2 linked regions of the Elephas maximus indicus genome follow. The protein of the gene in region 1 interacts with the protein of each later gene in a pairwise test. Links are inferred from orthologs where the notes say so. Each region holds a gene or a part of one and is shown on either strand. Other genes may lie near its edges.

Region 1 (15,784 bases):
GGGAATTGATTTTTTAATAATACAGGATGGGCTGGGAGGAATAGGAAGTTGGATATGTGACTTGGGATCACCCTCTGGGAAGGATCGAGTTCCCAGTTTAATACATTTGATTTGGGCCATCAGCAATGAACTTCACATACAGTTGCCCTCTTGCTTCTTAGAGACCCAGACAATACTGTGGAGACTAACACAGCCTTATTGAAATTGTCCTACTTACGTTGTTTAGAGACTGACTTCAATTCCTGGGGTACTGTTTTTCTTATCCTTGTCTGATGTTTGGTTTTAATTTGGCTTTACTCTCCCGGAAAGACTGATTTTTATGCATCCCTTATTAGATATTTAACAAATGTGTAGAATTTTTGGTTTGTTTTTGTTCTGTTTTGTGCTTTGGTTTTAGGACAGAAGTAGGGAAGGGCACAAGCAAGGGACAAATAGGTCTTAATTTTTTAATAGTAAAAAGTACCCTAGGCTAACATTGCCTTAAATTATTACAGTTTGACAGTTCAGGAACTCAAAGGGAAGAGGAACACTAGCTTTAAAAATTAATATTTAAAAATTATTTCTATTAATAATATCCCCTTTCAGCTAGCAATCTTAAAATTAGTAACAGAAAATTCACTAAATGGAGCATTTAATTGTGCAACTAGAAGCCACAGATCACCAAAGTAGATGGCTGAAACCCAGGACGCTAACTGCTCTCTAACAGAAGGCAGAGTTGGAGCTCTGCAGACTACATGTACTTAAGGGAGCTGCTGCTTTGTCTAGATATGGATTCAGACTTCATTAATTCATCTATTCAACAAATATTCATTGAGTACCCACCATGTGCCAGGCACTATTCTAGATGCTTGATATACAGCAGTGAACAAAACAAAACCCCTCCCCTAATGGATCTTACATTCTAAGTGGGGATGAGAGACAATAAATAAATAAACAAGCAAAAAATACAGTATAATATAGTATAACAGCAAAGTAATGGAATTAGAGAGTTCTTGGATAAAGGGAGTGGGAGCTGCTGTGTTGTATAAGGTGATGGTCGGGGGCCTCACTGATAAGGCCATGTTTGACCTGAAGGAAGGGAGGCATGTAGATTCTAGGGGAAGAGGGTTGCAGCATGTGCACAGACCTAGGGCAGAGGAATAGCAAGGAGCCTGGTGGGGCTGGAGTAGAGAGAGGTGGGCTGTGAGTCAAAAAGGTGGACGGGAATAGGGTGGAGAGAAACAGATCAGGTACGGCTTATTCTGAAAGGGAGGCCATTGGAGGTTTTCCAGTAGGGTCCTTTTGCCTTAAAAATGCAGGCCTTGTGCCCTTAAACTGTGAATGTGTGGTTGACGGGGCCCTTCTCCTCACTTCTGCCTAAGACCCAGCACTGCTGTAACGTTTTGAAGATGTGGATTACATTTTGGGCTCCTTGTCGATGACACTGGCATAGTCTTCTTCTGCATCTGTGGAGTAACACTGGAGTATACTCCTGCAGTGACTGCTAAACTGCAGCTGATAGTGTCTTGCTGGCCCTCGGGACACCATCCCATAGCAAGAGGGAAGTGCTAGACACCACTTTTGACAGTATTTTTAGGTTCTCTGAAAGGGGCAGAGTATAACTAGATGTATTAGAATGAGATCTACAAATTTTTGTGTGCATTTTCTCTAAGCAGAATTTCACAGGCTTCCTCAAGATATGACAGTTGAAAAAAAAAGATATGACAGTTGAGAAGAGATCATGGAAGTTGCATAAAGCAACATTGAAGGACACTAAATTTCTAAAATCTCCTTTAATGAAATGGAAGTCTGGGGTAGACATACCACAGTCCCTACCCTGCCCTAGATACTTGAGATTACTCCTTGCCATTGAGTCAACCTTGACTCATGGCAACCCCATGTGTGTCAGAGAAGAACTGTACTCTATAAGGTTTTCAATGGCTGGTTTTTCAGAATTAGATCACCAGGTCTTTCTTCTAAGGTGCCTCTGGGTGGGCTTGAACTTCCAATCCAGGGACTCCTATTTGGGCATAATTTCCTTTAAACTGGACTAATAATCAGAGAGAGGCAATTTGTCCAGAAAAATCACCCCGTAGCACCAGAAATTGTGGATGTTTTCAGGTAGCTCAGCATTATCAGTGCCTGATGAGGATTCTGACTTGTGGCCAAACCATGCTCTAAGCTGTTTCAAGAATGGCAGCCTTCTGGGGCAGGAAGCTATATGGAGAGGATGGGAAGGACATGCAGCTGTCCATCCAAGGTCATCAGTGGCTTCAGAGCTCCAACCACCTCTGTGTCTGTGGCCAATTTACCCAGCAAACCTTGGACTAGAATTGGTCATTTCAGAAGGGTGCAAGAAAGAAGATTGAACATGCACTGAGAGAGGAAAAAGGAGCCTCTGCAAATGCTGACATTAGAGAAGCCATTGCAGTGGTCAGGGCAGAGATGGGGGATAGAATGAACATCAGCAAAGCAGGTTCGACTGGAATGAAGGGTTATTTTTAGAGGAAATTCAGGCTGCATGAGAAGTTGCGGGGCCCCTGGATTTGTTGATCTGAGAAAAATTAATGTGGAAGAGAAAGAAAGGGGGTGGCCTTAAAGATTCCTATTATTTTGTTTAAGTTCACAGAACAAGCAAATGAAAGTCCATCTTAGGCCTTAAGTGAGGGGTGAGTTTGTGGCTCACCTTATGGCCATATCTGTGACACTTAAGACTCTTAAGAATAGTTGGGCTCTGTTAAAGATTGAATTGTGTCCCCCAAAATATGTGTTGGAATCCTAACCCCTATACCTATGGATGTAATACAACGCAATGCAACGTAATGTAATCACTTTTCATAATGCAACCTAATGTAATGTAATCAATCAATTCAGCTGAGATCATACCAATCAGTGTAGGATGTATCCTAAACCTAATTAATTCTGAGTTATAAAAAGAGCAAATTAGATACAGAGGCACACACATACTGGGGAAGACAGATGCCACGCGAGGATGGCCAAGGAACTGAACACTTGGAGCTACCAACAAGGACAGAATTGACTCGGCTGAGACCCTGATTTGAACATTTAGCCTCCAGTACTGTGACAAAAAAAATTTCTGTTCTTTAAAGCTGCCCACTTGTGGTGTTTGTATTACATCAGCACTTGGTAACTAAGATAGGCTCCCTCCCCAGTCAGAGGCTCACGAGGGCCCAGGGTCTTTGCACACCATCATGCTGGTTACCCTGTGCCAGTGTGGGAGCGGTGAGCAAAGCAGGTTGGCCGTAACAGCAGGCAAACCTCTTTCTGGTGCTGAGAAAACCTAGTCTATGTGACACAAAATCCCCAGTAATATGAGTACTCTCAGCCTCTTAGTCTCTCTTACTGTCTCAGGAGACCCCTGTCCTTAAGAGTTGGGCTTTCGGTACTAGTGCAGATTAGGGAAGCAAGGGAGAGAGTCAAAGGAGCTGAAACAAACTTTGATTCCCTTATGTTAGAAGGACAAGGACTTTCTTTTTGCAGAAGAGAAAAATACATTCAAGAAGTGAGAGGAGTGAAGGACTGAGAAAGCAAGTGCTAGGATTAAGAGAAAGTTTGAGGTGTTGAGGAAAAAGGAGAGAGACTGGAGGCAACAGTTATGCCATAAAACGTGCAATGCATAGAGGAGGGGAGAAGAGGAATTTAAGATGTTTTGCTCTGTGCTGAGAATGTAACCCCATTAGACTTTTCCCAGAGACTATAAAAAAATTGAAATTGCTTTTTAATTATTTTTGGCTATTGGGTGTGAAATCTTGCTGAGATGAGCCACAAGGCAGCTCAGCTTCATAAAAGTTAAATTTGGGGGAGTTACTGCCTGGGATTTGGGGGCCTAAGATGCAGCAGTCAGCTGTATGTTGATTTAAATAATTGTTATAGGTCTGAGTCAAGGGAGCAGCTTCATCATGACTGTTGGATTTGTAGTGCAAAAGACACACTAGCTTTAGAAAATCGAACTGGAGATCAGCTACACACCAGAATAGAGGAAAATGGCAGAGACAATTTAGAATCACAATCTTGGGGAGAATGTGATGTTTGGAACTAGGTGTACCTGATGGAGATCTACATCTATGCATCACGGGGTCTCTTCCCCTCATGGGCTGATGAGACTGGGCTGAAGGAATGGAACAGCTAAGGCGGCTCCCAGAAGATAAGAGAAAGGCAGGAAGCAGAAGAGGAGTGTGTAGGGTTTATTTTTACTCACTATGTGTCAGTCCCTCTGAATACTCTAGTGGGATGGCCAGGTTGTCCCTAAACCTCCTTTTTTTTTGGGAATGGGCCCACTCAACAACCTTAGGGCAATGACATCCAGAGTACCCAGTCCTGTAACCCAGCCAACTGAGTCTCTGCTTTGCTCTCTGCCTCTGTTTTTCTTATTCTCCAGAGACTAGAGCCTCCTCCTACTCCTCCTTGTCTGATTTTCCTACAGAATTCTGAAATTATCTGGTTCTCCTCCCTGTATTTTCAAGTCCTGCTACTGATTCACTCCCCCAGTTCCCACCTACCCGTGGCTCTTAAATGTCTGACCTGGAACTTGACTGGATCGGCCACACCCCTTGATCTCTGCACGCGTTTCCCATGTTCTTTCTTGCTTCTCCAATAATTTCCCCTCCCTCTAGGCTCAGCACCCCCTTTCTATCAGCAGACTTCATGGCCAGTGCCTCTGGAAAGCATGATGTAATCTTGTGATCCTATGCTGAAAGCCTTGACATATATGGTATACTCAACAACTGTGACAAAGAGCCTATATGATGGCATAACCCAGCTCCTACTGCCTGGAGGCTATGTTTAATTTAGGGATTGCTAAGATGGGAGGCCTATAATGGGGAGAGGGCCACTCTTTGTAGGCAGAAGGCAGGGACCCACCTGAAGGGTGAGGGAACTGGCAAGATGAAATCCTTCCCTTGAAGTGCAGGTGAAAAGATGTGAAGTAATAGCCTGAAGAAAAAAGCCTGAAAGCAATGCCAGGCTTTACTGGCTATAGCAGAGCTCTCCAGGCAGGATGACAGCAGGGTTGAACCCCATGTCTGCTCTGGAAACAAGCTCAAGGTGGTGTGATCAGAAACGTATGCTGTGTAAGCTCACCTGTTTTTGTGTGTCCTGTCTCAGCTGCCAGTTCTTCTATAGCTTTTTGTTTAGTCTTTTTGTAAATACCAGTCCACTTTTTCCTTAAGGAAACCGAGGAAAAGCATTTCTGTCCTCTTTTGAGTCAGGGCTTTAGGGCTAACCTGTGGGGGCTCATTGTGACAACAGTGATAACCAAGGTGAGAGTGCTCAAGTTTGTGGAATGAATGAATGAAGGAAGGACAGACCTAGCAGTACAACTGAATCATTAGTTTTAGAAAATACAATATTATGGGTCTTTTATATCTTTGTATATTTGTTTTAGGAAATAAGTTTCTAATAACTACTTTTTTATATTAACAATGTTTTAGATTATTTAAACATTCCGCTGTTGGATATTTAGGATATTTCCAATTTATTTCTACTTTATAGCAGTAATACAGGCAAAGACCGAATAGTTCTTTAGTGCCATGAATGTTTTTCTGGGCCCCACTCTTCACTACGGAAGCCCCAAAGGACCAAGTTTGCTCTCATTGAACCATTAGTGTACAAAACACTCACCCATAGCTATCTTGTCCCCATCTTGAAGGGATGCTGTTTGTTTCTCCTCCCCAGATTTATTTGATCTTGTGAACTTCATTTTTGGTTTCTGATCACTTGGCTTCTCCAATTTACTGTTGTTGTTGGGTGCCACTGAGTGGATTTTGACTCATAGTGACCCCATGTGACAGAACAGAACTGCCCCATATGGTTTTCTTGGCTGTAATCTTTTCAGAAGCAGATCATCAGGTCTTTCTCCTACGGAGCAGCTGAGTGGGTTCGAATTGACAACCTTTCAGTTTACCAGCCAAGAGCTTAACCTTTTTGCCACCAGGGATCCTCTCCAACTTACTGGGTTTATTTTAATTAAGGAGACTTGGTGGCACAGTGGTTAAAGCACTTGAATCCAAATTGAAAAGTTGATAGTTTGAACCTACCAGCTACTCCATGGGAGAAAGATGTGGCAGTCTGCTTCCTTAAAGGTTTACAGACTTAGAAACCCTATGGGGGCAATTCTATTCTGTCATGTGGGGTCTCTATGAGTCAGAAGTGACTCCATGGCAGTGGGTTTGGTTTTGGTTTTATTATTAATTAGTATGTTGCTGCCCAGGGCCTGACTGCTTCTCACTTTACTGTCATCTGTAAATATATTAAATCCAATTTTTTCTTCCTCATCTTCACCTCCCACTAGGCTTTTCAAACAGTGAAAGGGGTTGTCACAAAGGTTGGGACACTCAGTGTATATTTGCACTGGGTGGAGGGAGGGGAAATTATCCTCACACACAGTTCGCCCATCCATCCCCTCCACACAACTGTCAACAGTTTATGCCTTTATTCGTAAGCTGACACAGAGCATTACTCAGAGTTAGAAATAATATTATAGATTATCCAGTCCAGACCCCTAGAAGATCAGGAAAATGATTTGGCCAAGGTCTCTGAATTAATAAGTAGCAGAATCAAAACTTGAATTCAGGTCTCCTAACATTCATCTAGGAGTCCTGGTGACACAGTGGTTAAGTGCTCTGTTGCTAATCAAAGGTCAGTAGTTCAACCCACCAGTGGCTCTGAGGGAGAAAGACGTGGCAGTCTGCTTCTGTAAAGATTACAGCTTTGGAAACCCTATAGGACAGTTCTACTCAGTCCAATAGGATCACAATGAGTTGGACGCCACGGTTTTTGGTTAACCTCCGTCTAGGAGTCCCTGGGTAGCACAGTTAAGCATGCTACTAGCCCAAAGGTTGACATTTTGAACCCACCCAGAGGTACCTAGGAGAACAGGCCTGGTGATCTGCTTCCAAAACGTCACGGCCTTGAAAACCCTACGGAGCAGTTCCACTCTGCACACATGGGGTGCCCATGAGTCAGAATGGACTCCATGGCAACTAACAACATCCACCTGGGTGAGGGAATGGGACACGACACAGTGGTTCTTGTTAAAGCATTCATTTAACAAATACACTGAGCACCTACTTACTATGTTCCAGGCACTAGGGATTCAGCGATTGGGGGGTGGGAGGGAGAGGCAAAATCTCTGCTCTTCATAGAGCTTTCATTCTCAACACTTAAGTGCTTCGCGTCACCGTCCTGGAAAATACCCTAGTGACCTGGGAAGGAGCGATTGGGTCTTCCATGGAAGGGAATCCCATCCTTTCTCAGTTTCTGTGCTTTCTACAAAGACAGCTGATTTACTGCAGAAGCCGAAGTGTGAGGCAGAAATCTCGGTAGTGCTCTCCTTCTACCCTGCCGAAGCCTGGCGGGGCCGGATCCAGGGTGCCGCGGCGCACCAGCTCAAGTCAGATGATTAGCTTGGGCCTCTCTACCCTCTCCGTGTTCCTGCGGACAGCTGGAGGACAGAGAAGCAGGACCCAGCTCTGCGCCATCCCTCAGGGAAGGGAATGCGCGCTGGTGAGAACGCTCCCGAGGCAGTCGCACTCAATGTCTGATACCCAGACTGGGGAAGGGATGATCCCCCTGGGCTTTTGGGTTTACGCAGCAAACTGCTTTCTCATGCTTCCCCATTGAACATTGCAGCCACACGCTCTTTCCAGCCTCGCCGAGGCCACTGCAGCGCTCTACTCTTCCCTTCCGCCCCACTCGTTAGCTCCGACTCCAGAGCCTCGGTTCCTTTTTCTTCGCCACTTCCTGGTTGCTATGGAGACATACGTCATTTACGTGCCGTGCGTCGCCTTGGAAACAGAGGAGCATCCGCGGCGCAGTGGGGAAGTCGGCCCCAGCCGCTCCAAACACGCTCGCGGGCGCTGCCTGTTAATGGCTGGGGGGAGTCCCGAGCCGGACGCGCTGCTGGCCTCTGTCTCGGCCCGAGCCCCTCAGCGAGCGCCTTTGTGACTCAGGGAACCGGCGGGCACTCGCTGCTCCTGGCGCCCTGAGGGCGGCGCTGATACGGGCGCAACCCCGGAGCCCAGGCAGGGCGCGGAGCTTTCGCCCCGGGACGAGCCCGAGAGACGCCGGCACTGGGACCCTCGCCCGGTCCTCTTCCCGCCGCTTCTCCTTGGACTCCCCCGAGCCTGCCCGTGCCCTCCGCCCAGGACTCGTATCCTTACGTCGGCTTCCCGCCCCTCTCGGGAGCCTCCTCTTCCCTGGGCTCCTCCCCGCCTCCTCCCGGGACCCCCTCCTTGCCCTTCCCCCGCCCGGAGGCCCGGCCGGACCGGACCCCGAGCCGCCACCGCCCGCTTCTGCCGTTCAATGGAGGACGGTCTGCTGGAGATCATGACCAAGGACGGCGGCGACATGCCGGCGCCTCTGGAGGTGTCCACGGTGCCGGCCGTGGGGGACGTGATCGCCGGGGAGTACAACGGCGGCATGAAGGAACTGATGGAACACCTGAAGGCCCAGCTGCAGGCCCTGTTTGAGGACGTGAGGGCCATGCGGGGGGCCCTGGACGAGCAGGCTTCGCACATCCAGGTACTCTCGGACGACGTGTGCGCCAACCAGCGCGCCATCGTCTCCATGTGCCGGATTATGACCACGGCGCCCCGCCAGGGCGGCCTGGGCGTGGTCGGCGGCAAAGGGAGCTTCCCGGGCGCCCCCCAAGAGCCGGAGAACCCTTCGCCTGGGGCCGGAGGCAGCGGCTTGCTGGGTCGCGAACCCGAGGACGAGGAGGACGACGACGACGAAGTAGAGAAGAAGGAAGTGCCCAGCCCCGCCACACCCACCAGTCACTGTGAGCGTCCCGAGAGCTCCTGCGCTGGTCTCCTTGGGGGGGACGGGCCACTTGTGGAGCCCCTCGACCTTCCCGACATCACCCTTCTGCAGATGGAGGGCGAGGCCTCCCTGTGAGGGGACTCCGCAGAGGCACCTTTCCGGGCTGGCTGTGGGTTTCCCAGTGCATGACGTGAGAGGACTGAACGGCGCGGTGCCGCATGCTACCTCGTAGATCAGGCAGGGAGAGACTCCCGAGGAATGATTTGTAAGGTGAAGGACTTTGGGAGCATCAAGAATTCTTTCTGCACAACCAAGCGAGAGGTAGCAAACGGCGGAAAGGTGAGGCTCCAGGAGAGGAAGCGCCCGTCTCTGGACTCCTATCCATCCCCTACCCTACCCTTACCCCTCTCCGGCCAACAGGAGAACCCCTGACTTGTGTAAATAAATTCTGCTTTTTCTATTCTGAAAAAGGACTTATCTAGGACTATGGCAAATAATCTCTAAAGATTTACCTAGAAATTAAGGAATTGGGGTATTCTGTTCTGGCAACAGGACATTTGCCCTTCTGCTGAAACCCAACTTATTCAGTGCTCTGCAGAAGGCTCTCCCCCTCACAGATCTCGGCGGCTCCTGATTGGTAAAGGAAGCTTGAGGAGGGAACCGCAGCCCTAGGAATCTGGGTGAATGGGGTTCCAAGGGCCCCTGGGCTGGGAGGAGCTGGCTGTGAATGTGCATGAAGACATAATAGTTCAACCTCTAGGATTTTGCATGCAGAGCGGATCCTGCCTTGTCACTGACTTCATCCGGGATTGCTTTTCCACTCACTGGGGTTTAGAGAACAAAGAACCCAGCTCACAGGCAGAGACTCGGGTGCTCAGCAGTAGCCCAGATTTAGGGGACGTTTGAGGGACTCTTGGGAGCCGCAGCCAAAAGTTCTCTCTCTTCTGGCTACATCCACTTAACTTCAGTTCCTTTTGCTGCCAAAATATCCTTGCCCGCTGCCTCTCGGTGTTGCCTCCATGATGTCTTGTGTGTATTATGTGTGTCCACATGTGTAGTAGTGTGTGAGCCCTGAGGGGCAGGGCTTGTGGCTCTGGCGTTAGGTTTAGGGGACATCCGACCCTTCTGAGTCCCAAGCTGTCATGGCGCTTCCCCTTCTCCCTTTCTACCCCCACCAGGGCATGGAGCATGTGGCTGTCCTGAGGTTCCTTAACTCACGTGCCTCCCTGCTGCCTCCTCAAGTGGTGACTTTGTGTGCCCATCCCCCTCCTTTGTGTATCCCTTTCTCAATGCTTTCCTTGGTGTTAACCTTAATAAAGAGGCGTCATCTCCCCTCCTTGCTGACTGGTACTAGAGGGATGTTAGGGTGGGGCTTCTGGGCCCACTGCATGGACCAGGGCTTAGTGGGAACTGCCTTCCCTCCTCTCTCCTTGCTTCTAGTTCCAAGGAGTTGACCCACCATGGTCGGGACAGTCACTGCCAGTTTTGCCTGCTTTCCCTTCTGATCTGGACCTTGATCTCAAGTTGGACTAGGGAAGAAGGGAATATTTGTTGAGACTCCCAAACTAACAAGAATTTTTAGTAACCAGAACTTCAGATGTGCTAAAGACTTCTTTTCAGTGAAGCACCTGGCCCCTAGGAAATGATTTCCAAGTCTGGATCCTGGAATGGCAGGCGTGACATTTGTTCCATGGAAGGGTTAAGGAGGGGAGACCTTGGGTGGTACGGTTAGTGCTCAACTGCTAACCAGAAGGTTGGAGGTTTGAGTCCACCCAGAGGCACATCGAAAGAAAGGCCTGGTGATATACTTCTGAAAAATCACCCACTGAAAATCCCATGGAGCATAGTTCTACTGTGATACGCATGGGGTTACCATGAGCCAGAGTGGACTCCATGGAAACTGATTTTTTTTTTTAATTGTTTGGGAGGGATTGCCGGGGATTGCTGGGAGGCACAGAGTGACATATCACAAAGGAAACCACAATAACTGCCTCAGATCTCTAGTGGAGAATGCTGGTGTGGTGTTCCCTGGGGAGCTTAGGCAGACATCAACTCTAGTCACTCCCTTGAGCAATGGAGATTTCCCAAGGCAGCCCTGGAATGCAATTTGAGAGCAGGATGAACTGGGATGCTGTGTGTATGTGTGTGTGAGAGAGAGAGAGAGAGAGAGAAAGAGAGAACAGGGAGGTGGAAAGAACACTAGAGTCACAGATCCGGGATAGAATCTCAGTTCCAACAGTGAATCAATTTCTTAAGACTTAGTTTCCTGTTTGAGACTTAGCTTTTGAATGTATAAAGTGGGGATAAAAAGTTATTGGGGAGAATTAGCTATATAAGACCCCTAGGAAGTCTTGTGCAAATGTTAGTTTCCCTACATTTCTCGGGGGTGGGAATGAGACAATGACTGACTCCTTTGGGAAAACAAAACTACCCAGGGAAGGTTCTAGAAGCTTTCATTTTATATAATCTTTCCCTACCTAAAGAACCCTTATCCTTCAGGAGAGAATTCAGGAAAAGAGGATGGTGAGATTCCTAAGCTAACTCAGGTCTTTTTTTCTCATAAATGTTCATATAACTATAAGCTTGGGGGTCAGCCCTGTGCACATAGGATGAGCAGAGGAAGCCTTGAGTTATGCAGTGGTTGGGAAATGTGTGTTGGGGGCTGTAAAGAAGGCAGCTAAAACATGTAAGTGGGGAAATGTCCCTGAGGACTCAGAGAGAGTTTCCTGCTATAGCTCCAGTATTCAGCACTAATAACTAATAATAGCTACAAGCACTTACTGTGTGCCAGGTACTATAATCAAATTTATCTCCCAACAACCCTATGAAGTTAGCAGTGTTATTATTTCCACTCAACAGTTCAAGAAACAGCCTTCAAAACTTGCTCAAGGTCACACAGCTAGTACTTGGTAAAGCCAGGACTTAAACCCAGGTCTGCCTGACTTGAAGAGCCTTACATGGTAACCACTCTGCTAATTGCTCTATTATTTGGATCTTCAGAGGACATTTATTATCTCCACAATCTAAAGAGTCTTGAAAAGAAAATAACCTTAGTTTTAGTCATGTTTCATCTTCTCAGTTGGAATGAGAAATTGCAATTTAGGTTTTGGCTAGTATCTTAGTTATCTAGTGCTGCTATAACAGAAATACCACAAGTGGATGGCCTTAACAAACAGAAATTTATTCTCTCACAGTTTAGGAGACTAGCGATCCAAATTTAGTGCACCAGCTCTGGGGGAAGGCTTTCTCTCTGTCAGTTCTGGGGGAAGGTCCTTGTTTTCAATCTTCCCCTGGTGGAGAAGCGTTTCAGCGCAGGGACCCTGGACCTGCTTTCTTGGTGGTAGCAGGTCCTCCTGTCTCTGCTCACTTCTCTTTTATATCTCAAAAGAGATTGACTCAAGACACAATCTTGTAGCTTGAGTCCTACCTCATTAACAGAACTGCCTCTAATCCTGCCTCATTAACATCATAAAGGTAGAATTTACAACACATAGAAAAATCACATCAGATGACAAAAAGGTGGAGAAACCATGGCCTAGCCAAGTTGACATGCATTTTGGGGGGACACAATTCAATCCATAACAGCTAGTGACTCTTCTTAGAGTCCAGTGGGTGGTAATGTAATAATGGCACCAAGAAGACGGCCTTCTGGGCCTGCTCCTTGAGAGGAAGAAACCGATGCTCCCAGGTATTCCCTGACACAGCTCCATCTTTATGCCTCTTTCCCATTTCCTGTAGCTCATATCCTCCAGTCTGACCTGAATCCCAATGGCAGCTTACCCATTTAGCCTCTGTAGAAAGGGCTAACATTTGACTTTATTTCAGTGCCCCATCCTATGCCCACTCTCCTGAACATGTCATCAATCTCAGCACAGAGCCTCCTAGAAGGTCTCTAGTTATCCAGTCTCCCCTAAGTCCAGATAGATAAAAATATCCCCCCAACAGGCAATTCTTCAGCTTTCTTCAGTCACCTGCACCAGTATCTCACAGGTATCCATTACAGGTTGGTTTCCACCTCCTTCCTCCCCATTCCCCACTCTCCTCTTGTGTTTCTCCTTTGGAATGCTGCTGATGAGTGAATTTCAGGTAGGATTCCTAACCTGAGAGTCATGGGAAGGGGTTACTATTAGACTCCAGGGGAACATAACCCTTTGAAATTGAATGTAAAACCTCATAAGTGTGCATTGTCTAGAGAGAAGCTCCATTGTTGTCACTTAATTCTTAAAAGGGTATATAAATCCCACCCCCCAAAGTAAGAATCACTGAGCTAAAGGGTAATGAGTTTGTTTTTTTTTTTTAACTTGAAAAATACCAAGGAAGAAATGATCCTGCCTGAGGCTGATACTCCTAGCACCCTTGCCTCCTGGGGTCTCCTGACTATTTCCTACACCAAATCGCAATCTTTACATAAATCTGATTACTAACCACTTACTCAACAAATTCAGATTATATTGACACTATATGCTAAGAATCCTGACTTCCACTGCTTCGAAGTCTGCTAGTACTTGGGGTATGCCAGGGCAGTGCTGATGTATGCAAGTGAAGAGATGGCGTCCTCCGTGAGACTGTGCTGCCCTTTAAGTCTGAGCCGAATATGACACAGTGCACCCAAAGTTTCAGGGTTACTCATAACCACTCTTTGAGTTCCTGGCCTTCTTGTCTCTCATTGGTCTAAGGGACCTCTCTCAGTGTTTGGCTCTTAATCTCTTAGTATCTTTACCTGAAAACACATACAACTTCATAGAAATAAGTGAAAACTTTAACCTGGTACAACTGAAATCTGCTCTTAAAGAAGTAGCGACTTTTCTAAAAGATGCAAATTGGCCTCCAATATAAACCAGCAGTTTTATATGATCAAAGTATTACCACAGACTATGGTCTCTGCTTGAGTTTTCCCAGAACTAAGGAGTAGTTTTTTTCCCCAAATATATTTAAGTCTATACTTCTTGCGAGACAGAAAAGCACTTGCATCTCTGAAAAGGCAGGTTTACATAAGTGTCTTTCCCCATCTACATGCTTAGGGACAGGCATTTAGCCAGGATACCCTGCTACTGGGAGAAATGATATGAAAGGACAAGAGTATTTTTTAATTGTTTATTCCAGCTGCCATCCCCTCCTTCCCCTTTTCTAACTTGTCCTCAGAAGGTGCATTCCCCCAGAGAAACAGTCTTTCTGCTTGGAAGCGCTGTGCTTAAAGAAGGAATCCTGCTCTGTGAATGATGCTGTAATGATGCCACCTGGAGAGGAATAGGAACATTACAAGGGGACTCTCAAAGTAAATTTATGGCTTTCAATTGAGCAACCACTACCAAATGCCTACTAAAGGCCTGGCTTTCTGCCAAATGATGGGTGGCAGGGAGAGAAGGAGAAACTGAAAAAACAGAATGTATTTGTGAAGAACACAAAACCAATGGCAATAAATTCCTAACTGATCTCCCCTAGTCTCTCTCACATCTATAATTCCGAAGATTAATCTTCCTAAGCCAGAGCTCTGGACATTCATTCTCCTCAGAAGTCTTCATCATGTTGCCAGTATTTCCTGAGTCAAGTATAAAATCTGGGGGATGAGGGGAGTCAAAGTCCTCCCTAATATGGCCCTGGGATCCTTTATTTTTCTTTTTTTTGCCTATACATTTTATTTTCTCCCTACATTTTCTAGCAACCATCCCACCAGTTTAGAAGCCCATATCCTCCAAGTCAGAGCTGGAAATGATCCCCAAGGGTATCTCAGCTCCTGTAATCCCGGGATGAGCAAGTGGTCTGGATGAATCTCCCTTGGTCTTCAATTCCATTTCTCTTAGTCATTCTTCTCAAGTGCAGCCAGACACAAGTTTCTCCTCCAGAAGAGGAACTTATGCGATCTCAGTCACCTGCACCAGCTTCTCAGGGGCTTTCTGGTAAGGCTGCTCTTCCCTCCTTGTCACCTTTGCCTTTCTCACGCTACTTGTGAATGGGCAATCCCCAGAAACAGTATGCATAACTTTTTGTGATTATGAAATTGTGCTTTTTTTCCCCCTAGGATTCATAATTTTCATCAAATTCTTAAAGGGTTCTGTAAAGCCACAAGATGAACATTCCACACTCAAAATATGCTACTCACCACTCCCTAGAAATGCCCCCCATTTTCCTGCATCTGATTCTTTGCTTACTCTGTTTACTGTTCATACTCCATCCCATCTCTGCTAGCTGGAATCCACCAGTTCTCCTAGGCCCTTTTCAAATGCTACCTCCTTCATGGAGCCTTTCCTGGTGCAATCTCTCCCTTCTTTAAACTTCCACGTCTTTTTGTTTGTGCCTCTTTTTGGAACAGCTATACTTTGCCTTACTTCTGTTATTCTAAATGTGCTTGCATTATTTCCCCTTCCAGATTACAAATATTTTGAGAGCTGGAACTGCTTTCTCATTTTTATAGTCTCTGAAATATCTACTTTATCCTACTGACTTTAAGGTGCCGTTGATTCTGTAACACATCGTTATTTCAGATACCATTCCAAAAAGAAAATTGCCAATTTAACCGTACTCTTCTTGTTACTTCTTGTTACTACTTATTTTAAAATTCTATTCTTACTTAAAGAGATCTTTTAAGCTTATTTAGAAATAGATTTTTTAAATCATATCACTACTGCACACACAAATGTGACTGAAAGTCATTATGGTATTCTTGTAATTTGTTCATGTTAGCGTGACACATCCGGACTCAGAGTTGTCGACAGTCATATTTTAGCATGCAGTACTGTTCTCTGAACCATTTAGAATGTTAGTGAAGCAGCATTTCTTTAAAAGAGTACTCCACTACTGTCTCTGGAATTTCTTTCAGGTCATAACATCTATTCTGCAAGTTTTAGTGCTGGCACTTCTTCCATCTTGCCAGAAGGTGTTCAGACGGCAACCAAGACCAATGTTCCCTCAGTTTTTTAAAAACCAATCCCTAAATGGTTGATTAACTGAAACATCAAGGGATTCTAGATTTCCAATCACGCCACCTGGAGTAACAACTACATTCATGCAGGTGTAGGCAATGACA
Region 2 (16,725 bases), on another chromosome or scaffold:
AGACCCATAACCTCCCTGATTATCTGAAAGAAAAAAAGGAATGTTTCAGATTGACTGCTAAGTGTGTTAACTTTGCTTATTTAAAAAACTTTACGTACCCATTCCATCTCTGCCATAGCCTCCCATTCCCGAACCTCCCATTCCAGAACCGCCTCCAGGAGTAGAATTCAAGAAGAGTTCAATGTATCGATGTTCTTTAAAAAAAAAAAAAAAAAAAGTAGTAGGGGAGAGAAGAACAATGGATCAGATTTATCAAGAAAAGTGCAAAAATGCTGATTAGCTAATATTAAACTAAAAGTATACTTGCCAATTTCTAGTGGGGTGATAATAGGGCTAAAATCCAGGTCTCACTGAAACTGTACAACCTTGAACAAGCAACAACGTTTGGGCCTCAGTTTCCTCATCTATAAAATAGTTAATTCAGAATCACCTGGGGGGGGGGGGGTACTTCTTAAAAATATATTCCAGGCCCAATTATAGAACTGAATTAGAATCTTGAGGGTATACCCCAGAACAGTTTAACAAGTACCAAATGATTGATAGGTAGTAATATCTGGGAATCAGGTAAGATTTACTGGCACAGAAACAAATCTGATGACATGCAGGACCTACCCAAGCTGGCAAATGGACCTTAAATGGTATTAATGTGCTTAATTGAGGACATGGAAACTTAGGCAAATGTAAATTAACACGCCTTTTTCTCCCTTTTAGTTAATCCGAGCTCCAATGATCTATCAAGTATTAAGAGTCTGAATCAATTCTTTTCAAAATTTATCTCTTAGCTGTATCGACAGCTATTCTTAATATAAGAGATTAATCCAATGAAAAAAGTCCCTAGGAATCCATTAAAGTCTATATGGTTTTAGGTCCCAGTGACTGCCAGAAGTTACCTATATACCCTAGGGCCTCTTCACTTAGTAAGAGATACTTATTCTGTAAGGGAGTTCACATTTATGAATCAAGTCAGACAGCATGCCAAGGATACCACTTACGCATGTTATTTTTGTCTTTAGACATGGCAGCTACTGCATCTTCATGTGTCACAAACTCTACATCTGCCTCTCCTGTTGCTCTGCCATCAGCTCCAATATCAATATGAACTCGTATTGGGTTTAGTGGTGAGAAGAACTGAATAAAACAAAACATTATTTTCTTTTTATTCAGATTTTCGAAAAGTAAATTACCACATACCTTGGTTTTGCAACAAAACCCTCCCACTCCCGTGTTGGTAGTCTAACTGCATGAACTACAGAGGTTCTGGGAATGTAAGACTACACACTTAGGGAAAATTACCCCTTTCAAAATAATGTATTTAATTTAAAATGAAAATACCTAACCTTGAAAATCAGTTTACCTTCAACAGATGAAAAAATCTGATAGCCTACTGCTGAGAGTAAAGCCCCATGCCATGACCAAGATATGTATTTAAAAATTGCTATTTTAAATATATAGGTCACCTGAGACATGGAAAACATGCACAGAGACACTGTGTATCATGATTCTGAAGAATGGGGTTTGATAAACCTATGAACTGCATGAGTAATGTCCAAAACATCATTAAATTCCAATCTCAAGTTAATTAGGTTTACACTATCCTTAAAAAGCACTTAGAAATTAGGCCATCTGCTTCTCAATACAATCAAGAGCAAATTTTTTTCTGCATGAGCCAGACAGTAAATATCTTTAGCTTTGTGGGCCAACGGATCTCTATCACAACTACTCAACAGGTAAACAAATGAGCATGATTGTATTTGGCCCATGGGCTCAAGTATAGCAACTAGTTTCAAATCAAAGATAGCTGCAGTATTTACTCCTATTATTTCCAGCTGCTCGAATTTCTAACCAATTTCTAGCCTAAAAAGCCAATCCAAACCAATGAAACTATAGACTTACTACATATTCACACTTTCTAACCTGAGGAAACAAAGGAAATAAGCTTTGAATCATCACCACCCTGTGCTGATCATTCTTTCACTATATTCTTAAATGGACTTTATGAATTTAGCCTTCACTTGCTCGAATCCTGTGTAGGCTGGCACAAAATGGACATAAAAATATTCATCAACTACTGAAAATAAGATAGATATATTTTTATATTCAAGAGATTTTGACATTAAACTACAGAGGAAGACTTCCATTAAGAATGCTTCAAAATTTGGACACCAGAATAACTATAAAACCAGTAAAAATCACTTACATTAGCAATGTCGTTTTCAGTTGCACGAAAAGGCAACCCTCTCATATGTACAAAATGACCACCATGAAAACCGGAACTTGCATCACCAGCTCCACCGTAACCATGTCCTCCCATACCTGGAGAATGAAGTTTCTGAAAGTTATAAAATGCTGACACATATAGCAAAGAGAGCATTTTAATAAAATACAACACTTCTCCCCTACACACACCCTTTTCTTTGACAATTCAAGAAATCTTATCACTTAGTTATTTTAAGCATCAAACGGAGAATCTGTCTGAAAGTACACATCAAGAACTATCGAAGGTATAAAGCCCTATACAGGAATGAAGTGAAATATGCCTGAATTGACTTTTTTTTAATTACCACTTACTGGTTGCAAATATTAAAATTTATGGCAAAATGAAAATGTCTTTTAACATTTATTTTACCTCTTCCATCTCTCATTCTTTCATCAAAGCCATCATTTCCATAGCCATAATTATTATAGCCACCATAGTCATCAAAACCTCCATAACCTGTGCAATTTAAGGAGAAATACATGAATACACTTTGAAGAGATAGATTTTTATAATCTAGTTTATAAAAACATACTTTGTATGTTTTAAAATATACACTTAGGTCATAAGTTTGCAACTCTTAATACACACGAGAAAAACAGTTAACATCTGGTGGAAATTAAAAACCCCAAAAGGATAAATTCAGACGTGCCAAGTAATCATCCTGATGCCAAATAGAAAATGTCAAAATATTTCAAATGTCTCAACTTCTTTATCTGAATGAGTTATCAAGGTGCCAATACGTGCATCAATCACATCCCACAGGTGGCCATGGGAATCCATTTTTTCATGAACAGGTTTTAAAACCTAGTAGGTACTGGAATGACTGCCATTTCTGTATTTCTTGACAAAGTGTCAGGAATATTAAGAAAATGACAACAGAACCTTTGTTCATTAGCTACACATACCACCATCATATCCATCACCTCCTCGTCGCATTCTGTCATACATACTTCCACGCCCAGCTCCATAATAACCCCCTCTTCCTCCTATTGGTCTATCATATGGTCCTGGCCGCTGCTGTCCCAGCAATCTTCTTGGTGGGTCATAAAATCCTTTGATTTCACTCCTGCTACTTCTGAAGATCTCAATATACCTATTTAAAAATGTTTTAAGGTACAGGTTTCAGCACAAATGTATTAGAGTAAACAAGATATTGGGCAAAATGCAGTAAGTTTGTCTACATCTAGTTACATAACCCAATTTAAATTGCCTAAATACACCGTAAGTTAACATTTTTTATACCTACAAACTTAAATATTTAAGTTTTACTAAGATAAATTAGTTGTTTGAAAAGAATCCATAAAATATAATTTGTTTTCTTTAGTACATGATAGGTGTTTAAAGAAAATAGGTGATTACGCAAAAGCATTTATCAACAACATCCTACAGAAAAATGGGAACAATCTAATTTTAAGTAAACTTAGCATTAATTCCCCACCCACATCTGTAGTTTCCAAGTTAAATTTAGATAAATTATCAATTCTTTTAAACTATCCCAGAAAAATGTTATGGTTACCCCCCCATTTAATAAAGTGACCCACAACCCCCAAAAATAAAAATTTAACACCATCCCGAACTCTCCATCCCCACCTGTGCCCTATTCTTTCCTTGTGTTTCCCCAGAGCATTTTCTGCTATCTCCTTTGAAGCAAACTGCACGAAGGCCTCCCCTGTGCTTCTCCCCTGGTAGTCCATCGTCAATGTTATCCCATTTGGCACGATTTCCAACCCTTTAACCCAAGGACAAATAACCCCATCAAGGGGAACAGTGTTAAAGGCTGAAACATTCCCATCTGTATCAAATATTTAAAACAAGTCTAAACAAAACAAAACAAAAAAAGCTTAGTTTCCCATCACCCCATAATACAAATGGAAGATTTTTTTCATATATTATTGGATTAAATAATTTTCTTTGCGACCAGTGTCTTTTTAAATTACATACACACTCTCAGCCCACCTATATTACATTAAAAAAAAAAAGAAGAAATGGCTATAAATCAAATTTAACTATGCTCCATATGCTAATTCATGGTTCATTTCATCACACATAATTACTCTCAATTAAGTTTACTGGGTATCAGTTCTTATACATTCTATACATTCTGCATTGAAATATTAACTGGAGCACACTTCATAGTTTAAAACATTCACCGAGATATCATCATTAAAACTAAAAGGTTCCAAAAACAAATGGGTTTTACAAATGAAAAGCTGAATAACAACATAAATCAAATATAAAATTAAAATACTACTAAACTTTGACTAATACTAGAGGTACCTTGAAAGAACTGAACTATTTCCTCTTTGCTGCAACCAAATGGCAGTCCACGAAGTCGTACTGTCCCATCACTAGCGTCATTTGGACCATTATGTTTCATAACCCAATCCATCTCAAAACCGTTTGATATAAATGCTACAAAAATAAACAAGCACATAAAGTAGTCAATCAAAACATACTCTTGCCAGAGGTACTGAAGAAACACCTCTCAGTGGTGTCACAACAGGAAATATAAGTGACTCCTACTATAATGCCACAACACAATGTACAACAGCTTTCTATTTCGGGCTAGACAGAAGATTGGAAAAAGGCAGTGAAACCTCATCAATCACCCCTAAAAAGTACTGAATCTCTAAGGACCAAATATATATTGCCTTGTTTTAAGAAAACTTACAAAATTCCACTGTCTTCAAACCCTCCGCCTAGTTCGTGACCTGTCATCTTAATGTCAAACGTTTTCCTCCTGTCAAACTTTCGTATTTCTTCAGATTTCATTATTTACCTGAATAGTTATGCAAATTCTTTAAAATTTGAATTCATTCAGAAGCTGTCTGTAGTACCACTGTCCACTCGCATTAAGAATGTAAATCAAAAATAGAAGGAGTACTTCTTTGATGTCGGGAAAAAAATGGTATTACAGAAGCTTGAAGTTAATTCTGGCCTTAAATCTGAACATATTAAATTGCTTTTTTTTGTGGGGGGAGATTTCCACCTCTATTTTAACCAATTCTAGATTAAACACTCCCCAGGAGCAACAGCTTAAAAGTGACTGAGTTAATAACTTCCAACAGTCTTACTGTTTTTGCAACCACTGGGGCTAGTATACAGAAACAAGACCATCATTGCTTTACTTTTAAGTCAACACAAAAGTTTTTTTTTTTTTTAAAAAGTAACATTCACATTCAAAAAGTGGAAGGGCACATACAGTAAGACGACCCCCCTTCCCTCCAATATGAACCCACCCACCCAGTTCCTTGGAGCAACCATCTCTGCTTTTAAAATTCCCAAATATTTTCAAGAGGCTTTTGGTTAATGCAGAAGTCCTTCAGCTGCAGAAACTTACCAGAGCCATACAAATTTCACTAAGCAGCTGTAGGAATCCTACTCACCTGAGTATTTCAAACCTTTCCCTCACCACCTCCTCCCCTGTAAACAAAACAATTTGTTCACTTGACTCCTTTATGCTTGAAAATTGTATTTCATATCAATAATATTCATTAATACGTAATGTCACATCATCTAATTATCTGTGCAAAAGTTAGGGGTAGCACCTCCGAAGAGTAAAATTTCCTTTTCCCAGTATTTACACACCTAAAATATGCTAATGCAGAAATTCTCCAAATGTTATTATTAATCAAGTATTTCTGCACATGAATCTCCTCTTCAATGTTTTGTTTCTTAAAGCAAGAGCTCTAAGTGCCACTCTAAACACAGAGAATCAAAATGGGAGGAAGTGAAATTTTTAACTGGTGTTACAACTAATTCTTGCACACACAAACATACGGTATGAACTTTTAAGAGTGAGAAACCCTGGCTTTGAATCCCTACTCTTCCACTCACTGGATTTACTTAATTAAGCAAACTACTTAACCCCTGAGGAACCTCTGTTCTCAACCGTAAAACAAAAGTACTGCCTACGCCTCACCTGTTAAAAGAATTGTTTAAAGTGCTTGTTGTGCCACACTGTAAGTGTATTCAATGGTGGCCATTGTTACTGGACCTTATGTGGCCCTGCAAAACTGATGAGATATACCATAAACAAGATATCTGAACCTTAAGAGAGAAAGCTATTCTGACTCTTGCAAGGAAATAAAGACTGTTAAAAAAACAATTATCCTCATTTTTTCCAAAGTCAACAAAAGTTTTGCCATGTAAAAACTAAGTTTTTAAGTTTCTTTAGGAACTGTATGAAGGGGTGTGTGCAAAACATTTACCACAATACATACGTTAACTAGAAAGTTTAAAAAATACTGTTCTGGAGTAGGCCCCGAATCAATTCGAAAAAAAGTTCAATCAGAAACATTTAGAAATCTCTAACAATTCTTAAGTGTGTGTGTCTCCTATAAAGGGTCGTTTAAGAACAGAAGAGGGAAAAAGTGGAGGACCTAAAGTCAAATGTTCCTCATGAAAAATTTATTGTGCAGTCAATCCAATCTATTGTGAAGACTTTAGTATGGTGCTTTTTATCATCTCTTACCACATTTTTTTCAATGTACTCTTTCAGGAACAAGTAACAAAAAAAGGAAAATTAGGTTGTTTTTGCTATAAATCTTAGCACCAAGAAATACTAGCAAAGAAGCTAGTTTTGATTTTTGGATCAGCCTGTACCAATGAGAAGACCTATATACATAAAAACACAACCCAGTGAAAAACCCAGTGCCTTCGAGTAAAAACAAAGACCAGAAAATAGAAAAAACACACTAAACTAAAAATAGCTAACTGGGGTGGAGAGTTCGTTCTTTTTCTTTTACAAAGGGGTACATCGTACAGTCAACACATCTAAAATCCAGCAACACAATTTTAAATTGGGGAAACCTGAACCAGATTCTGAAGATTTAAACTATTTTGTACGGTGATTCTCCACCCCATGTGTGAAGAGTACACACTAAACGGTGTTAATAAAGACAGCCCCATGCATTAACCCTTCAAAGTCGATTAAAAATTTAAGAGTCTAGAATTCTACTTAAAAAAAAAAAAAAAGACAAACTAAAGCCATACAAAAAAGCAATCTGCTCTAACACATTAAAGCTGTCTGAGAAACTACCTGGGTTTACTACTTATACAGGATAATCCATCTCAACCTTTCTTTGCACCAGTGTCATGGCTAATTACTATCATGCTTTTAAGAATTCCAAATGCTACCACCAATTAAAAACACCAGCAGTTAAACCTGAAAGGATGACTTTTAGCAATTTTATGAAACTTTAGATATAGCTTTTCAAACATGCTATATGTGAAAGCAGCCAATCACAAAAGACCACGTAGTGTGAATCCATTTACATGAAGTGTCCAGAATAGGCAAATCTTCAGAGGCAAGAGTTGTGCTGGGGGGGGGGGGGGGGTCAGGTCAGGCGGGGAGCAAAGGGAGGGCGCGGGACAGGGGAATGACTGCTAATGGGCATGGGAGTTTCCTTTGGGGGTGATAAAAATGTTTTAAAATTAGACTTTAGTGGTTTCACAACTCTGTGAATATCCTAAAAACCACCGAATTGTACATTTTAAACGAGCGAATTTTAGAGTATGTCAATTTTCTCAAAAAACTCTTAAAGAAAAAAAGTATAATATAGCATTACTTTATAACATAGGGGCATATTGTGTCCTCTGTAATACAATAAATGAAATAAAGACTTATTGCCTCAATAAATAACTTTCTAAACTTTGTTTTGGAAAAAAAAAAAAAGGTGTTAAGTTTAACTAAACTGAAAATTTTACACCATTCCCCCTTTCCAACAGGCTTGTTTCTTGATTTTAAATATTTAGATGCACCACCAATATCTGAAGATGTGAGCTGTTTACAATGATTGTGAATGACTTACTAGAGCAAAGCTGTGACCTACTGCAGTTCAGTGACTGCTTCCCAAAACAAGTAATTATTTACCAAAAATAAAGTTATTGGGGGGGGGGAAGAATTATATGGAGTTCAGATAATGATGCTGATGAAAAACAGGGCAGAAAAAAACATCTAATTAGAAAAGCTGTTAAATGATGTCATATACTCCTTAACATGAAACCCTGGTCCGACTTTTCAAAATCCACTAAAACCTGTTTCAAGGCAGGATTTTAGTAAACTTTTCTTTGGCAAATATTGACCAAGCATCACAGTCCATCTTCAACAATATAGGCAGCAAGATTTTCTTTAAGCTAAAAAAAGTACATAACAGATTTCTTAGAAAGATTTACACAGATTATTAAAAACTCTTATTCTCAGGCCTTCCCCGCTCTTTTACTGTCTTTAGTGAAAATTATCCATCCAGTTCTCTGTTCTCAGAACCAAAAACCACCACCACCACGACTGAGCTTACAGTTTGACTTTCTATTTAGTAGGCTTTTTTCCCTGGCCAGAATATTACTATACTCCTACACTAAAGAAAAAACATGATTAGCTGCCAAAAGAAATTAAACCCGAAGTGTATTCTGAAATATTTTACTTCTAGCTTCACTGCCAAAGAGGGGAAAAATCTATGCACAAGGTACATTCCTTGGAAATCTTTCGGTACAAATTAGTAACTCGATTTGTACAGGTAACTGTTATCACCATGTGTCTTCTAAAATGCTCCCACTTAAACCCGTGTGTGCTAAACCACCCCACCCCAACCTAAAAGTTCAAGTAGCCCTAACAGTTCACTGCGCCTGGACAACCTATTTGAAATATGCCTATACCACATTCCTGTTTGAGAAGTTACCCATTTTTCTGATTACTAAATGATTACCCATTTTTTTTTTTTTTCAAGTTAAAAGTAAGTGTGAAAACCTCCCCCTTGAAAAACGAGTACGTACTCTTTCCGAAGTTCCAAACCTGGAATATAAGGGCCGGCTAAGCGTCCTTTATCCCTTCCCGGAGACTCTGCGTTTAGCTAGCTGCCCTAGGGACCAAAACGCTAAGCAGAGGACGCCCCTTCCCCCTCCCCGCCCGGCAGCCAAGCCTGGCTTAAAGACCTTCGCCACCGGGCGGCGGAATTACAAAGGAGGCCCTCCTTTGTCCTGGATTTGGGAGTTGAGCGCGCGCCTTCGTCGCCATTGGTTTTCCTCCCCCGGTTCCAGCCTTTCATCTTGGGAATCTGCGTCAGAAGTCACTCGCAGTCCCGCCAGCCCAGGTAGCCCAGCCTAGACTGCGGAGGAAGGGAGGCCGGGTGGGAGGCCAGGCCCGTCCGACGCCATTTCCACTGGGAGCGCGTCCGATAACCCTGATCGAACCCGCCCGAGCGCCCGGCCTTTCCCTGCTCGTTTCACTCCCCACCCTCATTCCCTCCAGAGCACTCTGACCCCCGGCTTTCTAAACCAGTTTTCGGAAGCTGGGGGCCAAAAAGCAGAAATAGCGGGGAAAGGCGGGAAGCCCGGATGGCCGCGCCACCGTACTCAAAATGGCGGAGGCCAAGCCAACGGGGAAAAAAAGAGGGAAAATGTTGGGTGCTCCCCACTTCGGTCTTCGGCTTCGTCCACTGAATTCCACCTGAGCAAGACCTCCCTGCAGCAGGCCGTCCTCCTTGAAGTGGGAGATCGCCCGGGAGGCACAGCCCGGCTGCCTCCGAGCGGCGACCTCCCCACTTCCCCCCACCCCACCCCACCCCCTCTCGGTCTCTCTTTCGTCCTTCTCCCGACTCCGCTCTCAAAACCACCAGCCCAACCTACCCCCTTTTTACTTCAGATACCCTGTCGGGAGACAGTAACGCCGGCTCCGGTGCCCACGGGGTGCGGCCGTGAGGAAGGAGAAGCCGCTCGACTCGCGTAGCGCTCCCCGCAACGGTCCTTCCAACCGTCCCCAGCGGTAGCAACCGCTGAGGGAGCTGCGCAGTACAGCGACTGGTTGGGGGGATGGGAGCGAGCGAGCGAGGAGGAGGGGGTGGAGCGAGAGCCACGGAGAGCGGCCGGCCCCACTCTCGCGAGAGAAGAGACTCCGCCCTGTCGTGGCGCGGCAGCAAGTAGTGCGCTTGCGCGCTGGCGAGCTGGCTAGTGTTCTGGAGCGAGGTGGAGAAAAGAGGCTGGTACGGTTAGAGGAAAAGCGGCGACGGACTCGTTTTGTCGTGGTTATCGTGAAACCATCGGCGGCAGGGACCATCATTTGCCTTTTCGGGGAGGATGTGAAGTGGTAGTAGTAGTCCTGCCAGTGTGTTCTGAAGGAACCGTGCTCTGCCCACCGTGAACAAATTCCCTAAAGGCTCCTAACCCCAGTGTCACCTTCTTGGGAAGGGTGCCACGTGGTTTGGCCGTCAAACGCAGGGAGGGCTTTTCTTGTCCACCATATTTGCATTATGCAATAAAAATGGAGCATTTCTCTGCTTCGGAGATAAAAAGGCGTCCACCAATATACGCGCTCGGGCTGGGGAGCCTCCCAGTGGAGCTGCTGGCACCACAGTCCCCCAATCTCCCCAACCGGGCCTGGGCCACCTGGCAGCCAGCTCTCACCTTAGTGCTACCTGATCGATTTTCTCTCTGCCTTATTTCCCTTCTTTCTACAAATCTTTCTTCACTCTCCTTCATGTTATCTTCTTTTTATCTTCCCCACTTTTATTTCCCAGTTATGGCAGCCGACTTAAAGTTTTTTGTAAACCCAGCTTTGTATTTTTCAGCATTGCCAGTACAGATGGCACCTAATACTCACTTTTTAATTGTGCTGCTATGCCACCAGAAGTTCCTGCATGGCACAAATGGTTAACCGCTTGACTACTAACCAAAAGGTTGGCGGTTTGAACCCAGCCACAGGTGTTTTGGAAGGCAGGCCTAGGGATCTGCATGGAAAAGGTCACAGCCTTGAAAACCCTGTGGAGCAGTTCTACTCTGCACACATGGGTCACCAAGAATTGGAATCCACTTGATGCCAACCAACAACAAGAAGTCATGTCACTAAGGTTCTTAATGATACCTTATGGCCTTTTTGTAAGTTTCACAAAAGATGCAAGACTAATTTCTGTGGTAGGGGTGGACGGCAATCCTAATAAGGAGATCAATGCAAATTAAAGTGCAAAGGTAGAAACTTGAAGTGCGAGAGAGGTCAGTTTGTCCGCGGCTAAGTGTTTCTGTAGGGTGAGTTAAGGTTGGAAATGTGGAAGAACCTAGGCTGTAGACAACTTTCAATGTCCAGCCAAAAGATTTTGGACTTGGTGCTACAAACATTTGGGAGCCCATGGGTGTGAGAGTGTGGGAGAGAGCTCCAGTGGTGTTAGTAGTAGAAAAGCATGAACAATTTTTCCCCTGTGATATCTGCAGTGTGTAGGATACAGACATGAGGCCATTTAACTTCCCATAATGGAACTTCCGTTTCATGACCTTAATTCATCCTCAAAGTTGCTTAAGACAAGTATGGGGCAGCAAGAATTGTCCGGGCCATACTGCCCTGCTGCCTTCCTTGAGCCCGCTCCTTCAAAATACCCCTTAGCCTTAGGGGAAGCAGAGAAAGGGCAGTGGGATCATCATTACCCAAAAAAAAACCCCCAAACCCATTGCTGTCGAGTCGATTCTGACTCATCGTGACCCTATAGAACAGAGCACAACTGCCCCATAGAGTTCCCAAGCAATGCCTGGTGGATTCGAACTGCTAACGTCTCAGTTAGCAGCCAGAGCGCTTAACCACTCTGCCACCAGGGTTTCCCCAATACACGTCATTAACAGGATACAAGCCATAACCAACAACACACAAATTCCAGAAGATTAGATAACTGGGACCTAAAAATTAAACACTTATGCTCATCTAAAGACTTCACCAAAAGAATAAAAAGAGAACCTACAGACTGGGAAAAAAATTTTGACTCTTAAAAATCAGACAAAGGTTTAATCACTAAAATCTATAAGAAAATCCAACACCTCTAAAATAAAAAGACAAATAATCCATTTAAAAAATGGGCAAAGGTAATGAACAGACACTTCACCATTCAAGTGGCCAATAGACACTTGAGGAGATGTTTGCGATCGCCAGCCATTAGAGAAATACAAATCAAAACTACAATGAAATTCCATCTCACCCCAGCATTACTGGCAAGAATAAAAAAAAACAGAAAATAACAAATGTTGGAGAGGCTGCAGGGAGACTGGAACTCTTAAGCACTGCTGGTGGGAATGCAAAATGATACAACCATTTTGGGAAATGATATGGTGCTTCCTTAGAAAGCTAGAAATGATCCAGAAATTCTCCTAGGAATATATCCTAGAGAAATGAGAGTTGTCACACGAATAGATGTACACAAACCCATGTTCATTGCAGCATTGTTCACAATAGCAAAAAGATGGAAACAACCTAATTGCCCATCAACAGATGAATGGATAAACTACGGTACATAAACACAATGGAGTACTACCCAACAATAAAGAACAATGATGAATCTGTGAAGCATCTCACAACATGGATGAATCTGGAGGGTATTATGTTGAGTGAAATAAGTCAATCACAAAAGGACAAATATTGTATGAAACCACTACTGTCAAAATTCACAAAAAGTTTACATACAAAAAGAAACAATCTTGGATGGTTACGAGTGAGGTGAAGGGTGGGGATGGAAAAACATTAAATAGATAACAGATAAATGGTAACTTTGGTGAAGGGTAAAACAGTACACATTACTGCAGAAGCCAGCACAACTTGTCCAAGGCAAGGTCATGGAAGCTCCACAGACAAATCCAAACTCCCTGAGGGACCGAATTGCTGGGCTGAGGGCTGTAGGGACCATGGTCTTTGGGAACATGTAGCTCAGTTGGCTTAATATCATGTTTATGAAGAAAATGTCCTACATTCTACTTTGGTGAGTAGCGTCTGGGGTCTTCAAAGCCTGTGAGTAGCTTTTAAGATACTCCACTGGTCTCACCCCTTTGGGAGCAAGACAGAATGAAGAAAACTAAATATAGAAAGGAAAGATTAGTCCAAAGGACTAATGGACCACATCTATTATGGCCTCCACCAGACTGAGTCCAATACAGCTAGATGGTGCCTGTCTACCACCACTGACTGCTCTGACGGGGCTCACAACAGAGGGTCCCGGACAGAGCTGGAGAAAAATGTAGAACAAAATCCCAGCTCACAATAAAAGACCAGACATACTGTACTGATAGAGACTGGAGACACCCCGGGAGTATGACCCCTGGACACCCTTTCAGCTCAGTAATGAAATCACTCCCAAGGTTCACCCCTCAGTGAAAGATTAGACAGACGCATAAAACAAAATGAGACTAAAGAGGCACAACAGCCCAGGGGCAAGGACTAGAAGGCAGGAGGGGACAGCAATGCTGGTAATAGGGAACCCAAGGTCGACAAGAAGGGAGAGTGTTGACATGTCGTAGGGTTGTTAACCAATGTCATAAAACAATATGTGTACTAAAACAATATGAGAAACTAGTTCGTTCTGTAAACCTTCACCTAAAGTACAATTTAAAAAAAAGATTAAAAAAATTACAAGAGATTGAAAAACAAAACTGGGATATTGTAATCACAATTGTTCACATTTATTGAGAGCTTACTTGAGGTAGGCACTGCTTCAAGCACTCATTTCATTGACTTTACAACTCAAAAAGATGATAATTATTATTATCCTCCTTTTACGGACGAGAAGCCTGAGCCCCAGAGAAGTGAAAAACGGTTGCCCAAGATGACACGGATACTAAGAGACAGAACTAGCGTTTGACCCAAAGGGCGTTATTCTAAGGGCCAGAGTCATAAAACACTGTGATATTACTTTCCGTGCTGGAATAAGGAAAAGTACACAACTTGACCCTTTTGTGAAAGCAGACCATTTACTACTCTGCGTATTGGTGCCCTGATGCGTAAAATGAGGGGTAGTTATTTCCGCTAAGAAACACTGGGATTACCATCTCAGGAGACCTGTTTGTTGTTGCGTGCTGTCAAGCTGATTCCCACTCACAGCAACTCAATAGGACAGAGTAGAACTGCCCCATAGGGTTTCCTAGGCTGAAATCTTTATGGGAGCTGATCGCCAGGTTTTTTTCTCCTGAGGGGCCTCTGGTGGGTTTGAACCAATGAGCTTTTGGTTAGCCCCAGAACCCTTAACCACTGCGCCACCAGGGCACCTTTAGTTCCCAGTTTATTGACTGGAAGTTTTTGAACAGGCATGAAACTCAGTAATCCTGGTATCACTGACACTCTAAACACCCCCCATACACACATATCTTTTTAATAATAAGACTCTGAGCACCCACACTTCAGATGAGGTCCTTCTTCCCTGGCTTCGTCGTTACTTTATCCTTTCAATCTTTCAGCCTGATTTGGCTGATGGAATTCTGTAATCCCTTTCACTCCTTGATTGAATTCAAATAATCTATTCACTGCCTGATTGAATTTGGCATTCCTTCTGCATAGTTTCTTTGTTATGGGGCAGAATCCTAAAATCATTCTAATGGTATGAATGACTTTTCACCACCAAATTGCAATGCTTTCCTTGTGGGGTTTGTTTTTTTTTTTTTGGCCAAAATTTCTTTGTATTGGGCACTGTGCTATTTGGCAACGTGAACACTTAGGAAAGACTTGAAATTCGCATGTGCATTGCTCTTGCCTTTTTATAATTACAGCAAGTAGGAAGTTTTCAGTTAAAAAAAAGAGTACACTAAGTAGGGGTAAATCTAGTGTTCATTTGGCTTCTCATTTTAGTACTTTTCTAGAAACAACAAAAAAACTAACCCACCTTTCTATCAGCTATTGACATTTGCAAGCTGAGTCCTGTAAACACGACTTGGTGAGACTGGCTCACCTTTGCTCCAGGGATCCCTGTAGAACCGTTCCCTGATGATCTCTGTGGGATTGTTTCCATAGGGACGGTTAGGACTGCTGAGGACTAAAGGCTCCCAGCCGCTTTAGGCTTTTTTTTTTTTTTTCTCTTTGTCTTGTTTTCAGTCATTTCGTTGCTTTCCTATTAGCATAGAGATCAGAGGGACCCTGGAGAGGATCTTGTTAGAGGCCAGAATGAGAGAAACGATGGAAAATGAGAAGGAAATAGAGGTACCCACACCACCCAGAGGAAAACAGGATAGCGAACACGTGACCATGTATTACACCATCAGCATGACGAAGAGAGGAAAGTTCCGTGCGGAGCCCAAGAAAAAGAAACAAATTGAAAGAGACCCTGCTCCTCCGAGGGAGGGAAGACGCGTTGAAAAATGGCTTAAGATGGGCGCTCCTTCACATACCCTCACTGGCATTGGAAGATATAAAAACTGGATAATAGCCTTTCTGCCTATATGAAACACAAACTAGAAACAGACCAAAACTAATAAAGGTAGTTAATGTCTTTTCAACTAAACCTTTTTTACCTTGTGAGATGCTTGTTCTTTGATTTATATATATATATATCTACTGTCTTTAGAGATGATTGAAAATTGTTTAAAAGGAGACTTAGTTTTATAATTTACATTCTTGAAACTTATTTGTTTCCTTAAGTCACCTACGTCATTCTCAGACTATGGAAACCAAAATACCTCATTCAGTTTTAATAATTATCGTACTAACTCAAAAGGAAGAAAGCACACTTTCTCTAATTTTCAAAAATAATTGAAATTCTTTCTGTTCCATGACTGCCAGGAAAAACAGCTATAAATGATAGTTTCTTAAGGAATTTAAATCAAATTATTATACAGCTTTTAGTATTAATAACTTAGGAAAAAACATAGATACTAGAGTAACAATTTCCCCTCACACAATTTTAAGATTGTGAGTGGTAGATAGAAATATAGTTTTCATTATATGTACATACCTTGGTGGCGCAGTGATTAAGTGCTTGGGTGCTAACCGAAAGGTTGGTGGTTTGAACCCACCAATGGCTCCGGCTCCTTGGGAGAAAGATGTGGCAGTAGCAGTCTGCTTCCATAAAGTCAGAATTGACTGGTTCAATTTGGTTTTATACCGCTCAGTGTGCAAACAAAAGTGATGATCATACTGGAGGCGGCATCATTTTAAGTAACTGATTTCATCACAGTCTAGCAAGGTTATTTTTTTATGGACCAAGAAATAGAATTGGGAGAGAAAGCAATGCTCCAAAATTTACAAAGAATATCAGTGGCAAAACTTAGAATTTTCTTTATCATCAGGCAGTTTGACAGGCCTAGATTCCAACCCCATTCTCACACTTACCTACCAGATGTGTGTTCCTGAGACAATTAACTTACCTTTCTGAACCTCAGTTTCTTAATCTATAAAATGGCTTGTTAGATTGTTGTTGTTAGGTGCCATCGAGTCAATTTTGACTCATAGTGATCCTATAGGACAGAGTAGAACTGCCCTGTAGGGTTTCCAAGGAGTGGTTGGTGGATTTGAACTGCCAACCTTTTGGTTAGCAGCCAAATTATTAACCACTATTTTTTATGCCACCAGGGCTCCAAATATACAGGTTAAAAATATATATAAAAAAATGTATATACAGGTTAGAGATTAATAATTAAAATAATAATAATTCTAGTCCTATGCTGTTTCATGTGAGTTTGTCATATCATTATTAATAAACTCGGTTCATTTCTGTTACAATCATTTTAACAATGAATTT

The links.
Region 2: the proteins of CCDC184 (region 1) and PBLD interact in binary tests that used the Homo sapiens proteins (3 or more experiments, as listed by UniProt). The two-hybrid records come from large-scale screens. The link is inferred for Elephas maximus indicus from reciprocal best matches to the Homo sapiens genes CCDC184 and PBLD.

What each region holds. Positions count from the first base shown.
Region 1 is NC_064822.1:103,055,112-103,070,895, forward strand, and holds CCDC184 (coiled-coil domain-containing protein 184), read left to right. Parts: upstream 1-7,803; 5' UTR 7,804-8,301; coding exon 8,302-8,895; 3' UTR 8,896-10,096; downstream 10,097-15,784.
Region 2 is NC_064834.1:19,536,694-19,553,418, forward strand, and holds the start of PBLD (phenazine biosynthesis-like domain-containing protein), read left to right. Parts: upstream 1-9,127; 5' UTR 9,128-9,348; intron 9,349-9,883; exon of another isoform or gene 9,884-10,086; intron 10,087-16,725. Other genes in the region: HNRNPH3 (heterogeneous nuclear ribonucleoprotein H3), read right to left, coding at 1-23, 99-194, 993-1,128, 2,198-2,313, 2,627-2,713, 3,163-3,350, 3,848-3,986, 4,535-4,691.